Linked DNA regions of Tribolium castaneum. The protein of the gene in region 1 interacts with the protein of each later gene in a pairwise test. Links are inferred from orthologs where the notes say so. Each region holds a gene or a part of one and is shown on either strand. Other genes may lie near its edges.

What was found.
Region 2: the proteins of Fmr1 (region 1) and Rm62 interact in binary tests that used the Drosophila melanogaster proteins (3 or more experiments, as listed by UniProt). The link is inferred for Tribolium castaneum from reciprocal best matches to the Drosophila melanogaster genes Fmr1 and Rm62.

Annotation. Positions count from the first base shown.
Region 1 is NC_087400.1:7,268,492-7,283,636, forward strand, and holds the start of Fmr1 (RNA-binding protein FXR1), read left to right. Parts: upstream 1-5,720; 5' UTR 5,721-5,849; coding exon 5,850-5,867; intron 5,868-5,889; coding exon of another isoform or gene 5,890-5,957; exon of another isoform or gene 5,958-6,020; intron 6,021-6,071; exon of another isoform or gene 6,072-6,201; intron 6,202-7,913; coding exon 7,914-8,027; intron 8,028-8,426; coding exon 8,427-8,479; intron 8,480-8,534; coding exon 8,535-8,685; intron 8,686-10,452; coding exon 10,453-10,616; intron 10,617-10,670; coding exon 10,671-10,907; intron 10,908-11,020; coding exon 11,021-11,071; intron 11,072-11,292; coding exon 11,293-11,440; intron 11,441-12,220; coding exon 12,221-12,358; intron 12,359-12,407; coding exon 12,408-12,551; intron 12,552-12,606; coding exon 12,607-13,027; intron 13,028-14,532; coding exon 14,533-14,712; intron 14,713-14,789; coding exon 14,790-14,897; intron 14,898-15,145. Other genes in the region: WD repeat-containing protein 44, read right to left, coding at 1,947-3,002, 4,615-4,934, 4,982-5,241, 5,293-5,554, 5,600-5,720, 5,890-5,957. UniProt on the Drosophila melanogaster protein: Polyribosome-associated RNA-binding protein that plays a role in neuronal development and synaptic plasticity through the regulation of protein synthesis of mRNAs.
Region 2 is NC_087394.1:23,994,328-24,009,641, reverse strand, and holds Rm62 (ATP-dependent RNA helicase p62), read left to right. Parts: upstream 1-8,114; 5' UTR 8,115-8,190; coding exon 8,191-8,192; intron 8,193-8,459; coding exon 8,460-9,497; intron 9,498-9,877; coding exon 9,878-10,116; intron 10,117-10,437; exon of another isoform or gene 10,438-10,911; intron 10,912-11,169; coding exon 11,170-11,348; intron 11,349-11,377; exon of another isoform or gene 11,378-11,518; intron 11,519-11,561; coding exon 11,562-11,753; 3' UTR 11,754-12,083; downstream 12,084-15,314. Other genes in the region: uncharacterized protein LOC103312134, read left to right, coding at 1,938-2,787, 4,953-5,266; uncharacterized protein LOC135267436, read left to right, coding at 12,175-12,291, 12,336-12,608, 12,649-12,837, 12,887-13,076, 13,124-13,290; hatching enzyme 1.2, read right to left, coding at 13,310-13,584, 13,631-13,957, 14,013-14,313; probable WRKY transcription factor protein 1, read left to right, coding at 14,393-14,486. UniProt on the Drosophila melanogaster protein: As an RNA helicase, unwinds RNA and alters RNA structures through ATP binding and hydrolysis. Involved in multiple cellular processes, including pre-mRNA splicing, alternative splicing, rRNA processing and miRNA processing, as well as transcription regulation.

The DNA.
Region 1 (15,145 bases):
TGATTACATTGTACTTTTTGGGTCTACACCAGCGTTAAACCGTGTACTTTGGGATAAGGTACATAACTTCAATTATCACGTTGTTTTTGGTTTAAATTGTTTTTTGTTGCTCAAAACTGCTTATCAGATAACAGTTTGACTCATTTGCGTACGATGCTACCAGAAATTTCTGTAAAAATTGTTGCTTTAAGCAATGATGGCCGAAGTGTTGAATATACAGTATAACATCATAATACCGCGAAAAAATGTGCAGGACGTACACTCAGTTTTGTAAAATATAAGGATTCACAAAAAAGCCGGATTTGGTCGTGGGAGCTCAACAACTACTCGAGATGGCCATTTCCTGGGTTTTTCTGTTTTGTGAAATTGTAGCTTGTCATCAAATATCCTTGCTGGAGGATTAGTAGAAGTTCGTAAAGTAAAAATTTCACCTGCAATAGTCTAGAGGAGACTCAAGGAAGCAGGTCCATTTGCTAAAAGACCGGCTGGATATCCTAAATTAAGGGTAGCTCATCAAAGATTAGGGTTTAAATTTGCACAACCCTATGTGAGTTGAGGCAACAACAAATGTAAGAACGTACTCTTTACAGATGAATCTAGATTTAGTTCAACATCATCAGACTGTCGAGAAAAAGTGTGGCAAAGACCAAACAAGAGATTCAATCAATGCTGCATATCACTCAGAGCGGGTTTTAACAAAGCAGTAATGTGGCAGTTTAATGATCTGGGCTGGTACCTCTTTAGAAGCCCATACCGATTTGGTGTTTATTGAAAACTGGACAATAACACCAGATAGGTACTTCCTCAAATGTGTAGAATCACATATGGTTTCCTATGCGCCATTCATTGTCAGAAATTATCTTTTTGTGGATGATAATGCTCGCCATCACATTGTTATCTGATATTGGAATAAGTTAATACACGATGTTTTTCGTGCTCAGCCAATAGTTTCGACTTGAATCCAGTAGAACTGGTTTGGGAATTTCTTGGCAAAAGAATGGAACGTAGCTAACCCCTGCTGGAGACGTCAAATAACTTAAAAGTGGCACTGGAGAAAGAATGTTCAAATTCCTCAAGAACAGATTACCACACCCATCCAAAACAAGCCATATCGTTTAATAGACGTAATAAAAGCTTTTGGTTGTAACACCCGTTAATGATCTTAAATTAGTCTTTTTTTTTTCGTTTTTTTTAATGATAATTTCTTAAATGTCTTCTTGTTTTGGTAACTTCTTGTTTCATTTGGTTTTCTCACTGCGAAGATGCTGTTTCTTGGTAAAACACAATATAAAAGTTTTCATAATTTTTCATGCACCACAACAAAAATTTTGGAAGTGTCCGGAATTTTTTGAGCGGCAGTGTATCTTCCACCAAAATTGGCCTTTTGAGTTTTTTCTAGACACCTTTAATGATAGTAAAAACATCAAAAACGATGATTTAAGCACCAATTTGGTTGTAAACACTTCATTTCAGACGACTTCTTGCTTAGAAACCGTAAAACTTGCTGTGTCCGAAATTTTTTGAGCGGCAGTATATCATGTCTTCGTTGGTGCTACATGACATCCACAACCATACAAATCTTTTACAACTCTTGAAGCCATTTTTAAATTCACAGAATAATCCAAATAAAATAAATAAATAAAAAATAATAAGTAGAAAAATAAAAAAGAACAAAATCCAAAAGGTAACGTTCCAAATGTTTGACCTTTTGCATAAAACTCCTCTATCGATATTTTAAATCTCATAGCAAGGCTTGAGATCAAATAAAGAGAAGTACAATACATGTTGGTTTTTGCGAAAAATGTATGTAGTTCTCCTACTATACACTTAAACAACCCCGAGCTACACAAAACTTGAAGCACCACTTCGGCGCAGAAACTGGACGTGATAGTAAACTATGAATTATCCTCCAATGGTCCAAAAACGCACTTTGCACTAGAACCCACCTGTCATCCCTTGGATGGAACACAATCGCCGTCACAAAATCAATATGTTGGAAACAACACAAACACTCCTTCCTCGAAATATGCCACAACCTAACCGTCTTATCCATGGAACTCGACAAAATGAAGTAATTCTTCGACCATGAAACATCCAACAAGTCGCTCGTATGCCCCGTATATGTACAAAAGGGCTTCGGCATAAACATCATCTTGCCACACTCCTCGGAAGTCATAGCTTCCAACACCGCCAAATTGCTGTTCTCGCCCGAATGGTGCGACACTAGCGATTCCTGCGACGGAGTTGGCGACACCTTCTCGGCGTTGTATTTGGTCCGCATGTCTTGGAAGAAGGGAAAAGCGTCACGGACGATCCAAATCCGCAACACTTTATCTTGGCCCGCTGTGGCCAGGAGACGCCCACAGCAGGAGAACTTCATGCACCAGATGGGCCCTTCGTGCTCGTCTTTGAGCTCTTGCACATGCTCGACTTTCTCGAACTCGTAGGGGCCTTTGTGCGAGCTGGAAGCCTTGAGTTTGATTGTTTGCTCCCCAGGATTGACAACATCGACGATATCGATGATGTCCTCCTTGTGGCGGGCGTGGGACACCTCCTGGGCTATGCTTTTGGCCTTGTGCATTGTTTTCTTCATCGCGGTGCCTACGAACTTCTTCAACATGGCCGTCTTCTTCCGCATCCGACTCACGTCTTCATTGTCGTCGACGATGGGGATCTCGATTTTTTTCTCTTCGCTTTCTTCGTCCGATTCTTTCTCTTTCTCCATGCTTGAGCTGCTCACGTATTCGGAGGTTAGTCGCATTATGTGGAGGGATAAGGGATTGATGCATTGAGGTAGCTTGTCTTCGGCTACGCTCAAAGGGACTCGTTCTCCGGTATCTAGATTGAGCACAGTCACTTGCTCCAAAATCTCGAAGTCGGATAATTGTTTACCGGAGTCGGTGTGAGTCCGAACTTTTAAATTCGCATCTTTTAACATGTTTTCGTCACCGGCGGATTTCCGACGCTCTTTTGTACTCCGATTGTTCGACTGGTGTGTTCCTCTAAGGAAAAATTCAGTATGCAATACTTGCGAAACCCAAAATTGTGCTCAAATTTGATTTTTTTGAGCGGATATAATCCATTCAAGATGTTTTTCGATGTCGGACATAGAATTTGCATAAAATTTCATGTCTTGTCACTTGTCACTGTCAGAAAACTAGGGCCCAGGCACCACGACTACGACCATACCAGTCATAATTTGATATCTAAATTTTGATCGAATTTTACTTTTTTTAAACGTTTTGAAGACTAAAATCGCTCAAAAATTGCAGTCAAAAACGAATTTATTGCGCGATATTTAGTCAAAACGTCAAAACTAACCCGAAAAATTTGGGTAATAGTGTCGAAAATGGGTTTATTGTTGCCTTTTTCAAACTTTTAGACATTTCTTAAGTCTAAAAGTCAATGTTTTGCGTAAATTCGCCAATTTTTTTAGCCAGGTACGCATCATTTCGTAAAAAATTATGCAAAAAAGTACCGAATAGTATTGTAAATGGTATATTTTTGTTACGTTTACATACTTTTTTAAGCTAAAAACTTGCTAATCTGAGTGAAATTAGTTAAACAATAATTATACGGTGCGTTCAAAAAGTCTTTAGTCAACTCTTGCTGTGGAATTTAGATTGACAGATTTTTATTGCCTTTGATAGAAGACTTTTTGAACTTTTCACAGGAATGCAATTAATTCGCGAAAATTTGTGAAAATCAAGCCGAAAAATTACCGAATTGAGTTGAAAACAGCCCTATTATTGCATGTTTCACGCATTTTTTCGTGAGATGGCGCTAAACTAGACCGAAAAATCACTAAATCCACAGCGTTCTTTGTAAATTCAAGTGAATCTCTAATGAATTAAAAACTCAGTTTTTTCGGGAGAATTAGATAAATTAGACAAAAAATTAAGTTATTTTGCTTTTTTTGAGCAATATTGCTAAAAAAAAACCTTTTTGAGGGCATTTCTTTCGCGAGTTTTTCCAAAAACAGGCGCAAACATCGAGTGTTTAAATACTTCATTGACCAAAAATAATTACTTTCAGAAATTTTGATAAAAATGTTTAAGTTCGACCTTAAAAAAACACAATTTTTTCTCAAAATTTCGTGAGATGTGGCTAATTTGAAACAAAAAATCAATAAATTCGATGAAAAATAATAATACGTAGGATTTTTGTTTATTTTTCTGGCACTTCAACAGGTTTTTGAGCTAAAAAATATTTTTTTCTATCCACAAACACAATTTTTTTACATTTTCGTTTTAAGGCTCAAACGCAAAAGATTTTTCTCCAAAACTAAGACATAATATCGCCGTGTCAAAAAATGGCGGTATTTTAACCAATTTCCAACATTTTTAGAAAAAAGCCGAACAGAAAATTGACAAATGATCGTCCAAAGTATAGTATTTTTTGCCTTTTGCCAAAATTTCTTATGCAAAAACATCGTGTATGAATTATAGAACTTAGTTTTTTAGATTTTACGTGATAAGGGAAGCATAAATTACTATTAACTGTGCTATTAAAAAGCTTTTTATGAAGTTAATTTAATCAATCAAGTGGTCTCAGGCCCACTTGATGGACATGGTATAAAGCCAACTTGATTGATCATCAAAAATGTATAAATACCTATGAGGTCCCAAACTGTAGTGCCCGACACTTGACCTCGTGGAAGACCCTCTCGGACTCGCTGCTTGGACCACTTCACTCTTAACCTTACCCCCTTCCCCGGCCTTCAAACTTTCATTATCCTGGGGCTTGACCACAAATTGACCCTTCAACGCCTGCTTGATATCCAACGAGTGCCCCGACCGTAGCGTCGAACTCTGCGATTCGTTGCCGGACGGCAGGCGATCGAGAGAATGTTCGAATTCGCGCGTCAAAGACTCAATGGTACTCGCAGGACTCGCCAGGTCGGAGGACTCAAAAGTCGCACTCGATGCAGATTTCTGCAATACCGACTTTAAAAAAAAGATGATAGCGGTCCAAGACATACTTTGATTTGGAGCGCCGCCTTGTTTTTCTTTTTGCGACGTGGGGGAGCCACCGGTGCCACATTTTGATCGTCGCTCTTTTGCGAAGAGGAGGCTTTTGTGCTTGCAATGACGTCGGGTTCTTGTAGCGGAAGACTGGACTTTTCGGAAGTCAGTGTTGCATTGCTGGGGTACTGGGAGATGCCCTTCGAGCTGGGGGTGGAGCCCGAGTCGAGGGAGCTGGAGGAGAGAGCGGATACGGAAACGGCCTTGCGGCCACATTCTAATATTAAATTATTTAGAATTTAAACAAAACCAATCACTGAATTATTACCCCCTTCGGCGATCCCCCCTAAAATTCGTGTGAGCCGTCCTAAAGAATTGATACTCTGGAGGCTCACAGTGTCCTGTTCTATGATACGGAAAGGGTGGGAGGTCTTATTGGAGGCGGCGAAAACCCCCTCAACTGATGATGTTTGGCTGTTGGGGGGCGTAACGTTGCCAGTTTGACAGTCCTCATCGTCGTGTTGCAGCTTCTGTCTCAACTCCTTGAACTTGCGCCGGCCACCAAGCGGTGTCCTCTTCTGGGGCTCAACCTACGCAACCATATGTTTTTGAGGTTATGTAACACCTTCACTTACAAAAACAATCTCATTGACCGACTGGAGCTGTCTCTCGTCGTGACCTGGGGGCACCGTTGAGACATTAGGTTCCGAACTAGCCCTCTGGGTGAGACTTTCCTTGGAGCTTTTCCGATTTTTTCTATAAAATTTTACACGATATAATTATCAAGTGGGCAAGCGAGCATCTGTCAAAGGGCATGTGTTTCAATTGTTTTTTGTTGTCGTGAAGTGTAAATAAAGTGGTGTTGTGGTGGTCCAAAGTGAAGAAATGAAAGTCTTCTTGGAGGTAAAAAGTGCTTGGGGCGTACCTTGGACCATGACTAGGTGTTAGGTCTTCGGCGTCGTAGAATTCCTCCGAGTCGCTGCTGCTGGACATTGTCTCATGAGCGACTCGTCATTTCGGGGCGTTGTCACGGGGGCACTCGCAAATTTCGGCGCCCTACAAAACCAATGACAACGTTTAGTTTAAAAGATAAGCGTGATTACGCACAGCGCCGCTGGGCCTGTCAGTTTGACGAACTAGTCATGGTCACGTTGCGGTGCCAGGGCAGTGGCGGCGCAAGGGGGGCTAACATGGGAACGTTTAACATGTAGCTCAAAGACCGTCTTCAAAGCTTTGTCAAATGTTGCAAAAAAAGGTTAAAAATAATGGCAGAAGACAATCCTAATCTCTAAATGTTTCATGGTCCAAAATCCAAAATCCAAGATGGTTGCCGGGTGATATTTTTTTTAAATTTTGAAGTATCCATAGGAAGTATCGAACTGTCAAAGTTTAAAATGTGTTTTTGTGGAAGCTAAAATGTCTTAAGGCCCTGTTTCTAGTTAAATTTGATCTGTTGCTTAATTATTTTAATTATAAATTGTCGAGTTCTTTTGCATTCCCAAACACACTATGCAAAATTTTGCTAAATCAATCCAAAAAAATTCGTAAATTGAGCCGAAAAATAACTAAATGTGGTCAAAAATAACATTATGCATATAATATTTGGCAATATTTCTAAAAAAAATACTGAATTACGTCAAAAATTGTGTAATTTTTGCTTTTCAGGCAATAAAGCTATGTTTCTGAGCTAAAAACTTTGTTTTTTGTTTATCAACCGCAAAATCACTAAATTATGTATCTTAAATTTTTACCTTTATCGAACGTTTAAGCGCATTTTTGAACTAATTACACGTTTTATGATAAAATTTTGCAACTATTTTTTGAATAATTACACTACTCAACCCAAGTCTTGTCCTTTGAACAATCTGAGTAAAATTTGATTTGGTCTACAGTTCACGAATTTGATAAAATTTTTGTCATCACATCATATTTTTTTTAATAAATTTTTTGTTTATAATTTTATCACTCATGAAATTAAGTTAAGTTAATAAGTTATTTCAATAACTTTTTTAAAACGTTTATCTTTTGTTAGTTTATTAAAAATGATAAAAGCAAAATTTTTAACAGGCTTTGTAAGCTTTAGTTCAATAACTTTTGAGCGGTGTTGCTGTTCTGGCAAAAACTAGTTTACTGCTAAAGTTGTTTATTTCAAAAACCATTCGTTCTGCCACTTTTGCGAACAATTTGTGTTCAATTGCTGAACTTTTGCTGAACTGGACGGTAAAATCGCCTAGCACTTTTTTCATAAATAATTATTTTGCGGTAATTTTTTCAAACAATTAATTACGTTTTTGCTTTTTAAAAATTTGGACCCGAAAGAAGTCTAGAAAGTAGTTAATTTTTTATTTTGTCGAAGATGTGTGAAAAATGTCTGTTTTTGGTGACTGAGAGGATTTAATGATACGAAGATTCTGTGATGAAAGGCGGCTGTGACGTCAAGCGATTATGTCGCTTATTCTTCGTCGCAGAAAATATTTGAAAAAACCTATTGGTAATACAAAAAACAAACGATATTTTCAATTTTTGTTAAAATATAAAACAGGTACAATAAATTGCCAATGCCTACATGGATCTTAAAAAATAGTACTGTGGATTTAAAATAATCGATCCCGGAAAGTTACTATCTCTAAAGATAAATTCCTATCACAAATGTGATGCTTCTAAGCAATGTAAGTGAAAACAAGAAACTTAAGTAGTTTTTTTCTAAAAACTAGCACTTTTCGGACGATCAGAATAACTTAGGACTACTTAATCTTTTATTGTAATAAGGATTTAAGAAGAACTTTTCTAATTTAAGGAGAAATAAAGCAGGTTTGTCTATCAGCTTGTTGAATTATCCTCATTTGCCCCCTTATTGGTGTCGCTGGCGCCGCCACTGCTCCCTTCGGTTTTCGACCAATCCCAGCTCTCCATTTCGTATCTGTCACTCACTGAATTTCTTTTTGCTAGAGTGGCAGCAGTGCAACTCCCTCTCGGCTCAAGGCTGTTTCCTCACCCAAGAACAAAACCAACATGGAGGACCTGGCAGTGGAAGTATGCGGCGAAAATGGGGCCCTTTATAAGGTCTGTACCACACAAAGTATGCTTTTGCCAATCCATCGTTGCGTTCCCGTCCATTGTCCATGTGTCGGTGCTTGAGCACAAGCCTCCGCCACCCCCGTAAACCCCATACTTTCCGAGAAAAATCCCGAAATCTTGGAGTTGCAAACGCGGTTCTTTTGACGCCATGACCATCTGACAGGGCGTGAATTTTCCATGTGTAGCAAATTTTCACCCAAATCCCAATTTCCCCCTTACCATCGATCGATTCCCTAGGATTTGATGGGATTTTCCTCAAGGAAAGTGGCAGGAATCACGCGTTTCGAGGCAAGGTTATGTTCGAATTTGTGTATGAACGAGTATCATGTTACCAGTGGTGGTGGTTGGGAGTTTCGATGAATTAAAACGGGCGTTTTTTTCCAGGGGTACGTCGTTGATGTGTTTGAGGATTCCGTTCTTATACATTTTGAGGATGAGTAAGTTGATTTTTTTGTTTTTTTTTTTACTGTAATTAAGCACGATTTTAATTAGGTGGCAACCGGATTCAAAGTTTCCCTTTTCTCAAGTTCGTTTGCCCCCAAAACCCGACCCAAAGGTCGAGTTTACCGAAAACATGGAGGTTGAAGTATACTCCAGAGCTAATCATCAAGAGGCTTATGGATGGTGGAAGTCTAGAATTAAGGTGAGAAAGAAGATGTGGTTGTGTAAGCGCTTATTTCTTCTTTATGTGATAATTTGTTATCTTCAAGTTTTTTCTATTTGTTTTGTTTGATTTGAATCATAATTAGTGGTCTATAATGACAAGCAAATTACTTAGGTGTCAAAAACCTTATCTCACCAATTGTTTGTGAGAACCCCAATCACGTGATGCGGAAAAGTTGTCAATATTCAAATTTGACAAGTACTCTAGATTAATAAGTTCCATGTTATTGATTTTAATTTTCACTCATCACTAAATAACAAACAAGAATTATTTGATTGTTTTCAAAATCCCTCGCATCGTATTTCTCTTCATATAACGTTTTGTTTCCCAAATGCAATAAGCTTTTCACTTTTTTCTCTCATTTCATTATTCGCTACTCGAAATTTCCCACATTCAAGTAAAATATGACAATGCGATAGAAATTGTAAAAATTGACGCTCAAAAGTTGCGGATCGTCTAATTTTACACATTATTACTTAAAGTTTATTTATAGAAAAAGGACACATTGCATGACTCGTCGAATTTGGAATTTAATTGCGTACTTTGAACTTTTCTATTAACTATTTATTTTGTTTTAATCTTTATTTTTGGTCCGATTAGTATTTTCTATTGGGAAGGATTTTCTTCTTGACCGAAATAAATCGAAACATGTAATCATAATTGCACAAATTCCAAAATATGGAAAATTGTACTCATTTCCTCTCAGTTTTTTTGTTGTATCTCTTATCGCTTTGTCCTTGCCACATACTGGACAAAAGTACTGAGATGTCGATAAATTAAAAAACTGTAATCCAAAAACATCTTTTGGAATTTAAAATTTTGGCATTTTGTTTTCTGATGTACTATTAAATTTTTTGTTTGGCATAATTACATTACATTTTAATAAGTTTAAAATATTGTTTTATGTTGGCATTGTGTATAATTTTCAGTTTTTGACTTTTTTGTTTATTTTTTTATTTTTTCCGTATTTAATTTAAAGAGTATAAAACTAGTCGTTTTGTTTGTAATTCCATCTGAATACAAGCTAACTTAGGCGGACGTACTCGAATAGTTCCGAAGTTGTAACGGCAAAAATTAACTATACTCGGAATTGAGGACGAGTGAATGAGAAAATTTGAAATCAACTTTTTAAGAAAAATAAATAATTAAATCTTTACAAATCTAATTTTACCTTAATTTAAACCTTTACCCACTGGTCTGAAACCATTACCCACTGGTCGGTTGTTATGTAATTGTAAATCTTTGTAACCGCTAGGAACACTGCAATAGGATGTAAAATATTACCTAAGACAATTTATCTACTTAATCTGAACGCGTGTAATACTGGAGCTCTGATTTTTCTAATTTTAGAATTGGATTCATAATAATAACATGTTTTATTCTCAAACAAATATCTGATACAATACACAGGGCCTTTCCTAAGTTATACTGTTGTGGGATTTCGAGGTTTTAAAGTCAACACACGTCTGGCATTATTTTCAATAATTATAATCAACAATTAAGCGATATAAGGTGATACCTTTTATGTATAGTAAAATTTATTTGTGTGGAGATTTTGGATGAGACATAATTATACACACGCAATATCTTCAAAAGAGATAAACATTTTACAACAACTTCTTTATAAACTTTTTTATTAAAAAAGTTTATTAAAACTGATGCACGCTTAAACTAATTTTGCAATGAAGTAATTATGGCGTTTCTAACCGAATGGACAAGCAATGCAATTTCGCTCTTCTTCCTCAGATGATGAAAGGCGACTTTTACGTGTTGGAATACGTCGGCTGGGACACAACGTACACGGAAATAGTCAGCGACGATCGTCTTCGTGTCAAAAACTCTAATCCACCGATTGACAGTTCGATGTTTGTCAAATTCGAAATCGAAGTACCAGAAGACGTCCGCGAGTAGTAAGTCTTTGTCGGAGATTTCTTTGTCTTTACACACATGATTTTTTTTCGCAGTGCTAAAATAGAAAATGCTCACAAAGAGTTTCAAAACGCCATCGGTGCTAGTCTCATTAGGTACGTTCCGGAAAAGGGTGTTCTCGTAGTGATATCGAGGAACGAGTCGAGTCGCAGATGCGCGCGTCTTGTGCAAGACATGCATTTTCGTAGTTTATCGCAAAAAGTGCTCTTATTGAAACGTACGGAGGAGGCGGCGAGGCAGTTGGAGAGTACGAAGTTGGCGACAATCGGCGGGTAAGCAATTTTTCCTCCCCTTGTAAAAAAAACGTACGGTGAATTGCCTCCGATTTTGAGCCAAAAGGACGCTTCTTTGATGTTTTTCTGACGATTTGTTTTTTCTCTTTCAGCAAGTATAAGCCCATGTACCAGCGTGTCTCAAATTACGAGACCATTTCAAGGTGAGACTTGAAAAAGTTCAAAAAAAATACGCATGTTTGTAGAATGTGCATTCCTCTTGGCTCTTATTCGAATTTTAGGGGCAATTTACCGGATTTATTTTTTGTTTTGACAGCATGTTGTTTTATTTTGTACGAGAGAGAAAATTTGTGCATGTCAAGTCGAGCCGAGGGGTGTTTGGTGTTTTTTGTTCTTGTGTTGATGATGCGATTTTTTTTTGCAGGTTTTCCGATGAGTTCAACGTTAGGGAAGATCTGATGGGGCTAGCGATTGGGGCTCACGGTGCCAACATACAACAAGCTAGGAAAGTCGACGGTATTACGAACATAGAACTTGAAGAAAATTCTTGCACGTTTAAAATATATGGAGAGGTGAGAAAGCGAGAAAGCCCACTAATCATTTTTTTAACTCGAAAAATATCGAGCCCAAAACTCTATCATCAATAAATTATCGCTATTGTTTCGATGATAGTTTATCGGAGATCCGATAGATGACCTCCCTATTTGGAGCAAAACTCGTTGAAGTCATAAACAGTATTTGTAAACATAAAGTGACAAATGCGTCAAATATGTTTCAAAATTGATATTATTTAGTTTCTGAGACGGATTTTTTAGAAAAATTGTTAACATTTGTAAAGGTATGTCGTTTTTGCACTGGTTCACAAATTATCCGGCTCGAAGGACCAGATGTAAAGGTATGTCGAAGGACCAGGGTCTAAACAGAAACGAAGATTTTGAATTTTGTTGGAAAAACGTTTACTTGTTCTGACTGTTTCTTACATAGTCATCTTATGAACTAAAAACTACCCAAAACTACACCCCACCCGAGAAGAGCTGAAGGAGTGGGGATGTATAAGCGGGGGGTGTTAACAACATTTTAAAACCAGCAAGTCTGTAGCTGTCTAAGCACAGCTAGTATAAAGTACTTGCGACATGAATTTTTGTTTGAAACTAGAGGAAAAACTGTTTTAAATGTTCACAGTTCGTACCAGTAATAAAATTTGGTTGTATTAAAGACAAGGGCAGAACATTTTCAAAAACAGAAACTATATTGGTTTGATTATGAATGACTTAATAGTACTTCTGCTCATGGTGCTTGGAATTATGGCAAAATAAAAGCAGCTACAAAATAATATTTGTTTATTTTTATAGACTGACGAGGCTGTGAAGAAAGCCCGATCGATGTTAGAATATAGTGAAGAATCTCTTCAAGTTCCGCGGGCGCTAGTAGGAAAAGTAATCGGCAAAAATGGCAGAATTATTCAAGAAATCGTTGACAAAAGCGGTGTGGTACGTAAAATTTAATTGTTGTTGAACCAGTTTGACCGATTTTTTCCAGGTTCGGGTTAAAATCGAAGGTGACAATGAGCCCCAACCGACGATTCCTCGCGAAGAAGGCCAAGTACCGTTTGTGTTCGTCGGTACCGTAGAGAGCATATCCAATGCGAAAGTCCTCCTCAAATATCACCTGGCACACCTCAAGGTACCTATTTTCAGCCGAGTTTAATTTTTTTATAATGTTTTGTTCGTTTTGTTAGGAAGTGGAACAGCTTAGACAGGAGAAACTCGAGATCGACCAGCAGCTAAGGAGCATTCACGGCAACGCCCTCGGTTCGATGCAGAGCCTGTCGATGAGTCGACGAAACGACCGAGGCTACAATTCGGACATGGACGGGGGCGGCCGTCCTGGTCGCGGTTCGATGCGCGGCCGCGGGGGCAGAGGCCGAGGGGGCGGCGGTCCCGGAGGACGACAAAACGACCGCTACAATTCCGGTACTAGTACGATAACTGATTATGTTAATAACGTGGATAAGCGCAACAACGCCGCCAACAAACCGATGGGGAACGGCAGGGGCGGTGGACGCGGTGGCGGTGGCGGCGGTCATGCCAGCAGCAATGGGCGGCCCCCGAGAGGGGGCGGCGGACCGCCGACGAACAACCGCGAACGACCCAACAAGGGTAGGTTGTCCATCGACTCGGCCGCCGGGGGCGACAGGGGGGAGAGGAAGTGATGGGGGCTGATGACGACACGCCCCGTCATTAACACCGGAATGGCTTTATGCAGCGCGTCCGGTTTTATTGTTGTTGTTTTCATTTTCTAACGTTGGTAATGAGGATTTTTGAGAACTGCGACGGTTGCATAAAGCCCTAAAATCATTTCAAAATCAGTAAATATAGACTGACCCGGCTGACGACAATTTTTAAACGATTTTTAAAACGACGATATGACACGAAATGACGTTTACCAACTTAAAAATTTGGAAATTTTTGCTTGATTAACACTTTTTTACCTTCAATTCTCTTGCTAATAACACACTAAATTGTAACAAGTGAATGTACATAATTTTTGTTTGGCTTCAAATTTTTGTCCCTTAATTACGAATTAATTTCTTCCCTGTCCCTCCCCAGTTTTTTTCTCTTCTGGATTTATTTTTTTTAGTTTGACTTACTTTAATGTTTACGCTGTATTATAGTACAGTAATGTAAATGTAATCATAAATATTGGATTTGTTGCTAACGAGCATTGTCGCTAATGAAATGTGACTTAATTTCAAGGCTTTGTTGTGACGGTGGGTGCAGAAATGAGAGTCCTTGTGATTTTTGTTCGTTTTCCCTTAGTTCGGTTGATATCTGCACCTTCCCGAATACGTATTGTCAATAAGATAATTAGATTGGTTACTTTAAATAACAGACAAAAGTCGTGATTTGTTTGTTGTTTGAGCTGACCTAGAAGTTAGTAAACCCCCATGAGGCTTCTAAATATCTCGACAAAAAAAATAACCTTGCTGGAAGGGTACGCAAAATCGATTTAGCCATGTGTAGACTACGAAAAGTGAGTGAAAAAACGCGACGAAACGCGGTTTGTGCTCACTGTGAGTTTGCTAACACTACTTAAGGAATTTAAATACCAAAAAATGGGCAATAGTGACTGCCATGGCGAAAGACTGGCTCACTAAAAACTGTGTCACGTATCTAATTAATTGTGAAGACTTTTTTAGAAATATAACTTGATTTAAAAAATGAAATTTTTGGTGTTTTATTGCATTTTTGTTTTTATGAGTATGAGTACGGACTCGTACCCTTCCAGTAAAAAGTCGAGCCGATTTCTCGTGGTTTTACTAACTAATGCATGCGCATGCAAAAAGCTTGAAGGGTGTTTGAGTCTGTGCTCACTGATTCGTTTTTCTCCCCCTTGGCGTCGTAGTTGGTGATTTGTGTTAGTGGCGCTGTTTATCTACGATACGAACAGTTAATGCAATTTAATTAATTACTCGTTTCGTCCCAATTTTAATTACGTATAGATTTCTACTCTATTACTTATGTTTCTACGATTTGGTAATCAAGTATCAGGAAGTAAGGTTGCATGAAGGTTTTTTTGAAGAAACTATTTGTATTTAATTAAATCACTGGGAACGAGCGATGAATGTCGGTTGTCGGTTTTGGTTTAGTGAAAATCTTTCTAGGATCGCGTCACCAGACGCCGGAAACAGCGGATGAGCGCGTCAGTGATTTGCCCCCGCGTCATTTCGGGGGTCCTCGCGGGCGCGGCGCCCGCAGGGATAACCGAAGAGACGAGCGGCGTCGCACCACCGACGACGAGGAAACGGTTTTGGACCTTACGGAGGTATCCAGTGTTGATCGAGGTAAGTCAAGTGGGGGCGGTTAAACCGGTTCAAAGGGAGAAGGGTGTAGTAAAGATGACTCACTCGGGTTGTCTCAGAGTCTATATCGAGTGCGGAAGCGACTTGGTCAGGTGGTAGGAGTCAGAGGAGGCGTAGACGTCGAGGGAGACAGCGCAGCCTTACGCCAGTTATCAACGACACCACAGGTAAATTTTGAGCGGTTTGGCTCAAAGCCAGTGGATGGAGATAGGTTACGGAGAACTAGACACAAGGAGACGGAACGAGACACAAAATCGCTTGATTTTCATACCGAAAAAATATACAGGGTGTCTCAGCTAAGACTTTCGAGCCTGATATCTCAGATATAATAATAATAATAATAATAATAATATAATTTATTTCTATAAATTTATACAGATGTAGTAACAAAATTGATATGAAAAACGTCAGTTTA
Region 2 (15,314 bases), on another chromosome or scaffold:
TTGGCACAACGCTGGAAAAAACTTAGGGATTTTGTTATTTTAATTCTAGGGGAGGTAAAAACCGATACAAAACTTCATAGAAAACAGGAAAAGACATACGATATTATTTTCATGTTGCAGATTTTTAAGTCAGTAATATCTCGTAACTTTTCGAATCAGTTTATTTACCTATTTTACAAAATTTTAAGCATTCTTCGTCTTGAAAATTATTGAATTCGTTTTTTTCTTGTTAAAACAATGTAAAATTTTGAGATTTGGTATAAAAGAGGTTTTTTTGAGGTAGGTAAGCGCAATTCTAAATTTTCTACACCGGATTTTCTCAAAATTCTCCTGAAATTTATTATTCTTTTTGTTTTCTTCTGATTTCTCCAATTTTTGTTCACCGATTTTATCTGCAATGAAAAAGGCACAAAGTCGGGGTATTTTATTGACATAATATTACAAAATTGTATTGAAAAATACTGTATTTTCAAGAATTTAAGAGTTGATTTTAACAAGGGGTTAAAAAAAATCAAGAAAGTTGCTCACTAATGTTACAGTTATTAAATTAAGTTCTGAATATTTTTAGGGAATGTTATTTTTTTAATTTTGATTTAAAATGAATTATTTTCTGTTTAGGAGAGGTTTTCACTAAGAATGAAGTTAAAAAACGGAAAATTTTACTAAAACTATTCAAAATATTACATTAGCTCTGAATTTTCGTTTATTTACAATTTTTTCATCAGATTTTAAAATTATTAAAAAAATTTAGTATAAAATTATTTTATGATTTTAAGAGTTTTAAATTAAAAAAATTACAAATTCTGAATGTTTTGGTAAAATAAGACAGCGTAGTTATTATTATACAAGACATATGTTTTTTTTTTGGTAAAAAATTAGTAGATGTGAGGATGTTATTTTTTCCTGTATTTGTTTAAATGTAGATTGCTGTAGAAAATTTTGATTTATAATGCATTATTTTCTGTGAATTTTGGAGAGTTTTTCACTGAGAATGAAGTTAGAAAACGAAAAATTATACTAAAACGAGACAGAAAATTATAACTTTAGTTCTAAATTTTCACTTATTTTAGTAGAATTATTTTACTTACACATTTTCAAATACTACAGATTTAGAAAAAAAAATTGCAAAATTAGATCGAATATGCTTTTCTTCTATAGATTTAGGAGTATTTTTTGCTTGTTTTAAAAATTTTGAACATTTTTCGTACATAAATTTACTGAATTTCAAAATTTTTCTACAAAACTAACTGTAAAATGATATTATTTTATGATTTTATGGGATTTACAATGAAAAAATCACTAAAGAAATTGAATTGAAAAATGCTATATGTTCCAAACATTTAAAAGTTATTTTCAACGAAGGGTTCACGAAAGTCAAGTTTTGCCAAAAGATCTAAAGGTTTGTTATTTCTGCCTGTTTTTTTTAATAAGTTTATAGAGTTGAAAAACATTTTTACTGAATTCGAGATTTTTATATAAAATGAATTTGTATTAAGCCTTAACTTAAAATTGAATAAATTTTGTTATAAAAACGTGGAAAATTGCTAACATTTGCCATTTGCCTGTTTTTTGAGTAGCTTTAGTACTGAGTTTTTAACAGAATTTCGGAAATATTTTTTGTGAATGTTCCAATCAATTATTAAATCTAGTTTTTGATAATGGTCGCGCTACCCAGAAACTTAACGAATATCGAATAATGAAATTTAACACAAGAAAGAAGAGTGCTATTTATATTTAAACTAAAATCCATTATGAATTTTCTGTGAATCTCGGAGAAACTTTTAATGTTTTAACAATATTCTTTGGCATTGCCAAAGTTAGATTAAAATTAAATTTTGCTGAAAGAAACAAACTAAAAAAACTGCAAAATTGGAACTGAAAATGCGCTAGTAAATTAGGTGCTTTTTTTGCCTAACACATTTCAATGTCTTCGCCAGGTGAATATTGGAGGCCTGTCGTTGGCCGCCAACCACAACATCAAGCAAATCGTCGAAGTGTGCGAAGAGTCCGAAAAAGAGGAAAAACTGTGCAAACTTTTAAAAGAAATCGGTTCCGATTCCTGCAACAAGATCATAGTTTTCGTCGAAACGAAAAAGAAAGTCGACGACATCACCAAATGCATCCGTCGCGAAGGCTACGCTGCCATCTCCATCCACGGCGATAAATCCCAACCAGAGCGTGACTACGTCCTTTCCGAGTTTCGAACGGGCAAATCATCGATTCTTGTCGCCACCGACGTAGCAGCCCGTGGTCTCGACGTCGAAGACGTCAAATACGTTATCAATTTCGATTATCCCAACTCGAGCGAAGATTACGTTCACCGAATCGGCCGCACGGGGCGCTGTCAGCAAGCCGGAACAGCCTACGCTTTCTTCACGTCGAATAATCAACGTCAGGCGAAAGATTTGATTGCTGTGTTGGAGGAAGCGGGACAGAATGTGTCGGCGGAATTGAGGGATTTGGCACAGAATTCGAGGGGTTCGCAGAACGGCAGAAACAGGTGGCATAATCGCAATAAGGATAACTCTTCGCCTAATTCGAATAATTCCGGCGGTCGGGGCGGAAAGACTTGGAATAATAAGAATTTTGGCGAGTATAGGCAGAATGGAGGACCTAGGGTTAATAATGGAAATGGACCGAGGAATGATATGCAGAGGAACAATAGGAGCTTTTCGAATGGGTTTGGGTACCAAAATGCACAGTTTCAGAATGGACAAGGGTACCAGACGTCGTATAGTCCACCCATGTACCAGCAACCCCAGCAGAACGGCGGGCCGAGACATTACGGTATGTATTTGGAGTGACTGATATAAAATACAACCGTAGGATTAAAATGTATAACAAACAAGAAATAACAATTGTTAATTAATTGTCTTGCGTGGATTATTTCATAATTTTTATTTTGTGTAACTGTTATTAAAAAACATTTTATTCCGAATGTTTTTGGACAAACCATTTGAAACAAATTTTACTTTTTATCACTTATCAGTGTTATGAAATTGGGGAAGTATGTGGCTACTTTATTATACAGGGTTTTCAAAAACTGGCGCACCAACTCAGTGGTACCTTGTTGAGAAGCATGTAAAAAAATTGGAGCTACAAACTTATTTCGTTAACTTTTTCAGTTTTCATTATTTTTTATTTTTTGTTTCACACTAAGTAATCGTTCTCTAACAAAACGATGAATATTTATTTTTAAATTTACCATCAGACTTAGCAGTTTTTTAAATTAAAAAAAATAAAATTTATCAAAAAAATCACAATGTATAGATGTGCCAACACTGGGAATTATTTTCTAGGAAACCATTTCAAAATTATTTTATTTTTATTGTTGATGAAATTCTATTGTGATCACAACTGTTAAACAACGTTGCCACATATCATTTATGTAAAATTAGTTTGAATATTCGCTTCGCTAAACTGAGGGAAAAATTAAATTGTTAATTAAAACGACGAATAACCAAATCATCTCAAATGGTATAATTTATGCGTTTTGGCTTTTTTTTTTTCGAAATTTATTATTATTATTTCATAGAGGGTTTAGCACGATTTTCAGCAGTAATTATTTACAAGAATTTCACCAAAAAATACGAAATGAGGTTGAAATGGTGTTACTGTCGTGAAAAGAAGGTTATTTTATGAAGTTTTTTCTATTAGAAAAGGAGGAATTCGTCAAAAGTGACGAAATTTGATTAAAAAAATGTTATTTGCATTTTGTGGTAAAAACTTAATTTTCGCTAGATTTTGTTAAACTTGATAAAAATAACATTTTTGCCTTTTCGTGCATTGTAGTCTTGGTTGTAGTATGTTTTTGTTTCGAAACGCCATTAAGTCGTTGAATTCCGGCAAAAATAAACCTAAAAATTACAAAATTGTGTTAAAAACTGCTATTTTTGCATTTTTTTTTTCGCTTTAAGTACGTAGTAAAAACTTAATTTTTTTTGTTACGAGTATGTCTTGTTGAAAAATAAAATTTAATTGGAGCTATGATTCTTATGCCTTTTTTTTCGCTTTGCAACAAGTTTATCAGAAAAATGCCAAAAATTGTGAAACTTGGTTGAAAATTGTGTTATCTTTGCTTCAGGGTTTTAGCAGGTTTTTGTAGTAAAAACTCAACTATTTTTCAAATTTTTGACTGAAAAATTAAAAATTCATTAAAAAATGTTATTATTGAAAAATGACCAAATGACTAGAAGGCAGCAAATTTTGCAAAAAAATAAGCTTAAAGAATCGGAAGTTTGGAGTTCTTGCGGTAAAAACTTTGACGAGGTTTTGTAATCGAGGTTGAACATAAAAAAAAATTCTTTTGCTTGTTTTTGGCTGGAAAAGTAATTATTTCGATGGATATTGTATTGTGTTCTGTATCGAGTTTTAGCACATTTTTCAGTCTAAAGCTCAATTATTTTTAGGAATGTCACAAATAAGTGAAAAATTAATACATTATGTAAAAATTGGTGTCATTGCTTCCTTTTCCAAGCATTTTAAACATGTTTGTAAATTAAAACGTCAGTTTTTTCTGTCGAATAATTGCTAAACTACTGTTTTTTGAGTGTTTTTCTATGTTTTACAGCCCGAAATGTAGTTATTTCGAGGAAATTAAAAGTATAATGTATGAATTATATTAAAATTGGTATTATAACTTCGTTTTAAGCATGTTTGTAAATTAAAACAGCTCAGTAAAACAATAATTATTTCGAGGAATTTCGTTCAACGTAAGCCAAAAAATACTATGTTTTAAATGCTGTTGTTTTATAGCTTTACGATAAACTGCCATTGTAAGACGCTTTTCACATTTTTTGTATTTTTATGTAACAACTAAACTTAAAAGCAAAGAGTGAAGAAGGTTTAAGATTTTTAATTATTTTTTTCGTATTGGTTTGTTCAAAACATCGTGAATGAAGAATTACATATGTCTGCAATTGAATTTGGTATAATTTGGCCCCTCTTTGAAGGTAACAACCGCGGTTACAACCAGCGTTTCAACCAGCGCCAGGCCTATGGGGGCCTTCCGCAGACCAACAGCCCCAACATGTACACCGTCCCGCCTCCGGCTTACATGATGCCCCCAGGCCCCCCTTCTGACGGCATTCAGTCGATCATGAACCACAAATTCTTCCAGAGTAATCGCATACCTAACACAACCAATCCTTGCGCTTATCAATCGATGGGTCAAGGCCAAAGTCCTTACAGCCAGTTCCAAGGTCCCCTCCCTTACACCACCTACTCTTATACTCAACAGCCCGCAACCGCCACCGTACAGCAATAAATCTGCCGTCAGATGGCACCATCCCCGTTTTTTAGTCGATGTACGTAACCTTATTGTAAATTGATGTTTTTTTTTCTTGTTATTATTAGAGGGGATGTTGACGGTTCGCACCGCTTTAATCAGGCTTAATGTTTTGGGCTCTCCGACGACTACTCGAGGTGTTTTGGTCGGTCTTTGTCTTTATATATTTAGTGTGTAATCTGTGTGTTCTCGGTGACGAGACGATTTAGGTAGTCTAGAAGTAACTATCTGTATGCTGTTGAAATGCACGAAACATATAGAAGGGGAGTTCGGGCTCGTTTCGTTCTAGTATTTTATAATAATATCAAATGAAAAAAGTAAAAATCGATGCTGTTTAGGTGAGTCCAGTCAAACAAACAAAACGGGGAAAAGAGGATTTGTTGATTTGTTACTAGTATGGATGTTTTGACTGTACTGGAATTAATTAAAGACAGCAGAAAGAGTGAGAGTTTTAGCCGTACGTGTCGTGTGCAAGTGACTCGTACCTTTCGTTTTTTATTTATTGCGATTCTTGACATGACTGCTTGTGTCGTGTAAATATGTGTAGTATTAAGTATTTAACTCGTTCGTCGTTTAGCGTGGTGCTGATTAGCGCGCACGTCCATCTGTGATATTAACGATTTAAAAGGTAGCAAAAGAATAATAACATTAACTTTCCGTGACTGGGAGAAACGCCAAGCGTTATTATATTAAGCTATGTACAATAACGTTGATAGATAGGAATGTGATATTTTCTATATGAAAAAGACTGAAATATCTCTAGATAATATTTTGTTTTAAAGCAAGGTCGCTAGCGGCCCGTTTTTGAACCTCAAACATTTTTACTGTTATACTTTTTTAAATGAGTTTTTTTAATGGAAAGTGAGAGCGTATCTCGGTACTCGGACTGAGTGCGTAAAGCACAAAGTTATTTCATTATTCTGTGACGTTATCATTCGCGCCAATGCATCATAACGATTAACGATTTTACATAATATTTAATATTTTTTTCCTCATTTTTATTATTCTTCCTTCTCAATATTTGTACCTTGTAATTATAAGTCTCGAATCTGAACTCGTGTTTGGGATTCGTTGAAGCGCGATTTCGGTCAAGTTTTATTTACATGTGGGTTTATTCTTCTCAAATTAGGTTGCATGACCCTCGCATTAAAACTCTCTAAAGGAAAAAAATACAGTTACTGTTAAAAAAAGTCATTATTTATATACTCTTCTGTAAGTTTCCAGCAAGTGCATTTCTTGTATGTAATACAGTATTAATATAGTTGTAACTTAAAATATATATTTCATTTTCTAATGTTTTTCTTGGCAAATTTCAATTTTTAACCTGGATGGATGTATATCTATATTCATTAAAAAACAAAACGAAATATTTATATTTTGCGAACAAATCTAAATTAGGAATTGAAATTTTCAATGAAAAAGATGGAATTTTCTCATAGGTCCTGTAACCGGAAATTGTAACACCAAGTTTCGACTTTCGACAAAACGTAATTGAGCGAAAATTGATTTTTGACACTTTCAAAGTGTTCCACTTGAATATGTAATTGTTTCTGAGAAAAAAAATTGAGGAAGTGTTCCATCTCGTTTGTTCAAAATGTCAAAAAATCCGAATTTAATTGTTTATTCAAATATTTCAAATAAAAATGTACCATTACAAAAGGTTTTTTTCTTATACCCTAATACCCTAATCCTACAACAAAAAAATGAGACCAATTGAGAGGAGTGATCTTGTTCACATTGCATCGTAACGGTTGATGAATTTTTACCAGCCTAGGAAGTAACAGTATTTTTTGTTCAAAACATGTTCCATTGTTAACAATTTTCACAATAAACCAATGTGGTATTGATTGTTTTTTTTCTATTTTGTAACAGTTAATAGTATACAGTGGTTAATGCAAATCCCGTTTTAGTCCTATGTTTTAGTAACAAATTGGTTCGGACTTAACGAATAAACCTCGCTTAAACGAACGCTCGCTTTTAATGGTCAACGAGCGTTCTTGTTCAAAGCAAAGGATCGTCCAAAATGAGCCGTTTTTGTACAAACTAATACATAATTCGTTTTTTTGTAACCGAATAAAGAGTTTCAGTTTAAACTATTCCTCTACGATTTGGCTCGTTCTTAAACAATGAATCAAAGAAAGTTAACTTTTTCCAAAAAAACAAATGCAAAATAAGGCGGTTTAAAGTATTCTCTGGTGATTGCTACATTTTAAGCAAAGAATCAGAGGATCAATTTCTTGCAAAGAAACAAACGCAAAATCAGGCGGTGATTTGGCTCGTCTTTAAGTAAGGAATCAGCTTATTTAACTAAACAGGTGGTTAAATAACGCGATTTGAAGTAATACCTATAACAAAGATTAACAATAATCTCATATTGAATTGCAGGGCTGTAACAATTTGCTGTATTTTAGAAATTTTTATTTATCCATTTTTTTGCAGGAGGTTAAAAAGTATGCACTTTCTCACACGCAAATTGTGAGCTACTTTCTCTATCCGATTTCTCTTTGAACAATAGAAAATTGCACAAATTCAAATCTTCCGCCACTTTGCAAAAACATCGTTTCCGTTTTATTGATCCCAGAAAGCGTCGCATTGCGTACTACGCATGTGCAGAACCGTTTCCACTCTCCCCCTTCCAGAATTCTCCACCATCTTTCTCTTCAACTTTGGACGTTGTTGAGGTGAGTAGCCTTTTTTTGCTTTTCCGAAAATTTTTCTAATATCCACCAAAAAAGTGTTTTTACCTCAAAATTAAGCGTTTTTGTCGTCACTGAAGCGGTGGAAACAGAGTGGACTGATTTTCTAATGACGTTTTTCGTTATTTTGCAGAAATTCGCAACTCCAAAGAATTGCAAGAATCAAGTTTAATCACCTTTTGAAAACACCATCCGACAGTTTTAATCATGTAAGTACCTTATTTTCTTACCGAAAAACGCGAATTCGGACGTATTTTACCCGTTTTTTACGTAATTTGGCTAAATCGAGTCAGATATTTAAAAATGTCTGCCGTTCCTTTGTTCTGCAGCTGTCTCCTAAATTTGTCTCGAAAAATCAATAATCGCAGTTTACGTCATTTGACTTGTCACACAGATTAAATAACGGGAAATTGAGCAAAGTTTTTGCGTAAAATGGAGCTGGAAATGTTAACTGAATCCGCTTTTCTCTGTCCCAGGTCTTACGGTAAACAAAATGGCGGATCGTATCGAGGCCGTGGCTCCGAGAACGGTTTCGGAGGCGGCGCAAGTCGCAACGGGTTCGGGGGCGGCAGCCGCTTCAAGAACGGTGGGGGCGGGGGCGGTGGAAGCCGATTCGGCGGCCGCAGCGGCGGCGGCGGATCCCCGGGCAACCGCCTCCGAAAACCCAATTGGGACATGAAGAACTTGCGCCCTTTCAAAAAAGATTTCTACGTCCCTCACCCCGCTGTTGCCAACCGGTCAAAGTACGAGGTCGAACAGTACAGAAGGTCCAAGGAAATCACGATAGATGGCGATGCGCCCAACCCTATCCAGAACTTCGAAGAGGCGTGTTTCCCCGATTATGTGCAACACGAGATCCAGAAACAGGGATACGACACTCCAACGGCCATCCAGGCGCAAGGGTGGCCCATTGCCATGAGCGGGAAGGATTTGGTGGGCATTGCCCAGACGGGGTCAGGGAAAACCCTGGCTTACATCCTACCAGCGATCGTCCATATCAATAACCAGCCATCTATCGCACGTGGCGATGGACCCATAGCTCTAGTTTTGGCCCCCACGCGAGAACTCGCCCAACAAATCCAGCAAGTGGCCCATGATTTCGGAAGTTCGTCCTATGTTCGCAATACCTGTATTTTTGGTGGCGCCCCCAAGGGGCCCCAAGCCAGGGATTTGGAACGTGGGGTTGAAATTTGTATTGCGACTCCCGGCCGTTTGATTGATTTCCTGGAGAAGGGAACAACGAATTTACAAAGATGTACCTATTTGGTCCTGGATGAAGCTGATAGGATGCTGGATATGGGTTTTGAGCCCCAAATACGCAAAATTATTGAACAGATCAGACCCGACAGACAGACCTTGATGTGGTCAGCCACTTGGCCCAAAGAAGTCCGAAAATTGGCACAAGATTTCCTGAGAAACTACGTACAAATCAATATTGGGTCGTTGCAATTGTCGGCCAACCACAACATTCTTCAAATCGTTGATGTTTGCCAGGAACACGAAAAGGAAACAAAGTAAATATCTATTTTTATTTTCTTCATCGTATGGTAGCTAATTTACATGGCACAGTTAATAATTGTGCTGTGTAAAATAGTTAACACGAGATTTGTATTTAATTTTTTGGTCGACGATTGTTATTATAATTTGTTTTCTATTATACCTAAAGAAGTATTTGCTATTCCAATCAGAGATAAATAGTCAGAAACCAATTTTTCCCAATTTGACGTTAACAAAATAATTATTTCAAAGTGATGAGCAAAAGTGCTGAAATAATACTGATGTATTATTACCACACCCAATCCTCTAAGAAGAACTGATTTGAATTTTAATTTAATAATATATTTAGCGAAAAATTCGTGAAATTAATGTTTGTCGTTTTTTTTTTTTTTCTCAGATTGAATAACTTGTTGCAAGAAATCGGCAATAACGGCGAGCCTGGAGCAAAAATCATTATATTCGTAGAAACCAAAAAGAAGGTAGAGAGCATAACCCGCACAATTAGACGTTACGGATGGCCTGCCGTTTGCATGCATGGTGACAAGAGCCAACAGGAGCGCGATTTCGTCTTGAGAGAGTTCCGAAATGGCAAATCGAGCATTTTAATTGCTACAGACGTAGCTGCTCGTGGCTTGGGTAGGTTTTTAAACCGAACGAAACGTTTGATTTTTCATCTGTTTCTTTTTTGGAATTTAACCATGTTCAGTTTTTTCAAATTTATCACTTTAATTGATACACATAACTTCGGAAATATTGAGTATGATGGCATAGTAGCACTTGGGGGATTTTCCAGACTGGTTTTATAAATTGGGGTGTGCGGTGGGTGGGTTGGGAGTGTGCATGATCGTCGTAGGAACAAGCCAAAAGAATCTTCATTTTTAATTATGCTTAGTTGTTAGTTTGCAATACCACAGGGAACAGATTTTTAATCAGTCTGGTTGTCCTTTTTTGTTTCAGAGGCACATGCAGGATGAGCGTATTTAGCAAGTGCTAATAATTACGCCTTTGTTGCGTTCTTGTAAAGGATGCAATTCTGTGTCTTGCGGTGCCTCTGGCTGGCTACCCCGCTCTGAGGTAGATCATTTGAGGAGGTAGAAGACCGATGGAAGATTTGATGTGCTCTTTCGCATCAAATATGGCACATGTTTGGTATACACAATCCCATTCCATGTATCCCTTATAATCCTTTCTAAAAAACAAAACTTACAAGTTTCGGGGAATTACCAAAAGCCAAGTCAAACAAATGTCATTCAAATTTGAGTATTTGTCTTCCGTTCGGTCCTGCAGTGTTTAGAGCGCCAGCATATTTATTGATCCCAGCAGCACATGCGCTCGGACATCACTGCAGCAGCCATTTTGCTACTATAGCTGTTCCGATGATTTGTTGTAAATGCTTCACAACTTCGTGGATCACTTGAAACTCGAGTCATGGTTAGTATTCTTGATATTTTTTATTTATATCAATAATACAATGACAGTTTTGTAACAATTTCATTACTCTTCCAACAAAAAATGAAAAAAATACAAAATTGTTACAAAACTCGTTATTGTCTTTTGATTGAAAACCATGTCATTAACTTGTGTTTCACTAATTTGGTTTTGTTACAACAAGGTTTAATTTTCTGTGTTTGCTAACACAATTAACGAACTGTGCCACGTGTTACCCATATAAAACAAGCTTTTCTCTAGATGTGGAAGGAATTAAATATGTCATAAACTATGACTACCCCAACTCTTCAGAAGATTATATTCACAGAATAGGAAGGACAGGCCGATCTGACACCACCGGCACCTCTTACGCTTTCTTCACTCCATCCAATTTCCGACAAGCCAAAGATTTGGTTTCCGTTCTTAAGGAAGCAAACCAGGTGAGGAGAACCCTAATTTTGAGTCAAACCCTTCCTTTTTGGCATGCCTTTGCTTGGAAAAAGACGGCAATGCATGAATGCTGAAGGAAGGGAGATTAATTCTTGGGAAATATGCCTTCGGTGTCCACACAAATTCTGTCTGGATCCCATCCTCAAGTTTCCCAACACTTCTACTATAATTTTAAACTGTAAACTAATTATTTGTTTGAACAGGCTATCAATCCGAGACTGTCTGAGATGGCGAATCGTTGTAGCAGTTACGGCAGCAAAGGGGGTAGCGGCGGTGGCGGTGGTCGTTGGGGCTACGGCGGAAGTTTTCGAGGGCGCGAAAACAGCGGTCCAAGAAATCACCAGAGATTCACTAATGGCGGACGATCCAACGGATATAGCAACGGAAGTTATTAAAACTATAACAGTGTGGACAAGGGAATGACCTGATACAGTATTTTTCTTCAGATGCATTCCATATGCGTCCCAACTTAGTTGCTATTAATTATTGCAAAAGAATTTCTATTTATTTATGTGGTAAATATTTATTGAACGTTCGTTCGCTCGTTCTAAATGAATTTTTTTGTATTATCTCTCAATACATAGCGATTAAGTTCTTCTCTTATTAATGTTTGTAACTGTGATTAGATTCGACTTTAGTTTATATTGTCACAATATAATTTTTCCTTATATCCGACAGTCCGTCATTAGAATTAATGAGAAAAAATAATAAAAGGTGTTTTTTTACGAAGGGTTTTGATTGAGAAACCAACAGAACCAAATCCTGAATCCTGTCATTAGTTCCCATGGCAATCGTTTTGTCAATAAAACGTCAAGAATGAGGAGGTACAAAGGAAAAAAGAAGAGTAAAGAAGCAAGTAGACAAGTGGTACTTGAACCAATTAGAAGATCCTTGTACGATGTAGTTCAAACAAACTTAAAGATAGCAAAGAGGGTATGCGCAATTGCTAAATTCAATCTCTTTAGAACAGACTTCAGGTCACTTACATTCACCGATTGCTTTACATCGGGGAGCATTCTTTTACCCCTCGTGAAATCGTCGAAGCGATGGAAAAAAACTACAAATTAACGAACACCGGATACTGCACTGAACCCTTATCCGGGATCCTCCTCTACTACGCTAACCACTTCTGCTACATAGCTGAAGGTTCAGAAGAAGCCCTCCACAAGCACTTGAGTCTTCTCTTTGAACACGAATCCGAACGTCTCGAAAACGTGCGATTGTTATCAGCAATCCACCACGTCAAAGCGGTACGACCATTTTACTGGCAACCAAATTATTTTTAATTAGCGTTTTTGGAACGAATGGATGTCGCATTTTGGCCGTCCTGCCGAACGCGTCGAAGAGTTTGACTCTAACAGCGGCCTGGAAAGCTCCATGATGTATGTGACAGAGTGTTGCGAACGTTTGTACAAATTCGCCAATGCGTTCATCAGCGACCAGTTGAAGGCCCGCGCCAAGAGGGAAGAAGAGAGCGATGTAATTAATTATTTTCAGGTGTTGAACCATCTTAAGTGTAGTTTTTAAGAGTTCTGGTGACGATAAACCAGATGTTGCGAATTTGCAGCGAACGCGCAGTTTGGTCGAACGCGACCCTTATTACGAATACCTTCCCGAAGTGAAACTTTTGAGATTTTTAATCAATTGCGAGTATTTGAAGACTTTGAAACAGTATCATCGCTATTACGAACATATCGGGCAATCGAAGGACTTTAGCTGTATTAAAATTGTTTCGGTGGTACTTTTGTGTTAGTTGTTTTTTTAGTGAAAGCATGGCCAGCACCGAAGAATTTCATCCCCTATGATGTTTTCGACGAAGAGTACGACCCGATTTCGGACTTGCCATCGGTTGAAGGACAAGACATAGTCAAGGAGGAAGAGTTGGGTAGTTTATTATCAGCGTCGATTCAAACAGGACAAGTTGAAGATTAATTAATTTTATTTAAATAAATTAAATACCCATAAATTGACATAACGTGTAGTATTTGCGACGAAGTCGAGGGTTGTCGAAACAGCCATAGAGATCGTTGAGTTTCAAACAGTCTCCCTTGGAAAGAGCCTTCCTCTGACCAAGCCTTTTGATTCCTGGTTGCTTTGCTGTAATTGTAGGTTTGTTTTTACCTTTACTGAAAAAGTATTTCCCGTAATGCATTATGGAATCATAGTCATACTCGAAGCTGTAAGTCGTATTTTCAAGGCTTTGCTTATCAAAGTTGGTTTTGTACTCTGGAAAAACGAGTTATTATGTGATACAAGTGGTAAGTGTTATTACGTGGTATGATATTGTCCATGTGGATTTTAACGAACTTGTCTCTGTCCCATCGTGACTGTTCGTGGAACACACCCAAGGCGTGCATTAGTTCATGGACGGCCCTCCCTTCAGTACCAAGACAATTTGGGCTTGTGGCGTCTGGTGGTTGTAGACTCACAATCTGGGCGCCACCAAAACGACCCACAAATGACCAACAACCCTTGGGGTATTTGATGGGCCAGATTAGGAGATAATCTTTAGCTTTACCATCCCATGGTACGAACCGAACGCAAGTCATGAAGTTTAGAATATGGATGGCTTTTAAAATTGTCACTTGGTCCGATGGTTCTGTGACGAGAAATGATTACGGTCGTGGTCGTCGTTCGTTGGTTTAATTACCGACCATATATGGGGCTTATGACATATGGAACAGTCCCATTGACCCATAGTTTTTCCGGAAACACGTCCCACCGTATCCCTACCCTCCAGTAGTTGTAGATCTCGTTGGTCATAGCCATGTCCCCTTGGAACAGTCCGGGAGTGACTTCGGGATCGGGGTCTTCCATCATAAAAGCCATATCTCGGTCGACTTTAGCTGAATGACATTTTTTACCGTTAGGTGTTATGGAATGCACTGATACTACCATCGTCGGGTACGGGTGGATGCATGACATCGGGTACCGTCGGAAGGATAACTCTGGCATTTTTCAGATGTAGCAGAAAAAATAACACGAAAATTGGCCGCCGCATCTTCGACTGCTGAAAGTCGCGCACTGAAGCAGCATGATTGAAGTGTTTGATGGTGCAAATAGCGGTGCTCGGCTGGTGTCAATTAAATCGTCATTAGCATATTTAAGAAGCTGGATTTGGACGCCAGGTGGGTTTTGTGGTGGTGGGATGATCGCGGAGATTTATCGGGATTTGGAATCGAATCGATAATCGGGTTCCGTTTGATGACCTTTACGATATATAAGTTGCGAGTCGATGAACGGTATCGTGCGGAATTGTCTTATCATTCCCTCACGACTGTTTATGCAAGAATGCGGACGATCTTTAAATGTGTCAGTTGCGATTTTTTGCTTCGAAATGCAAGAAGTAAAATGACTGCACTTGTAGTTGGTCTATTTACGGAACAATTTAATATTTAAATTAAATTGGATTGCGTGAAAGTTCGGTTATTTTAAAATGTAACTACAGGATGCACTTTGAAATTACTTGCATGATGTGCTTTTTTAAATTATTAATTACAAATTATTTCCTTATAAACAAACTTTTGAAATCTTTTTTTTTCAAGATGACGTTTTATAAACTGTAATACAGATTTGGTAAAATTGTTTTGCGCAAACACCAACAAAACAAAATATTTGAATAAATAATTAATTAATTAATAAGTTAGTATCTACTACAGAGAAATGCTTGTCTTAGGAAGCAGTGATTGGTAAAAGAAATTGTCTCTAGCCTTAAAAAAGAAAAAACCCCCCAACAAAAGTTTATTTATTCTGTAGCTTATTTTATTTGGAAGAGGTTAAATTAATCACAAATTAAATTTCGATGTTTGGTTTTTGAGATACAGTAAAAATATAATATATACTTTCACCCTATATAAATAAGTAACTTTATACTTTTCTGAAATCTTTTTAGAAATTATGCGCCGATAAAAAGCCTTTCAAAAGCGTGGATTTTTTAAATAAATTGGCAATCTATT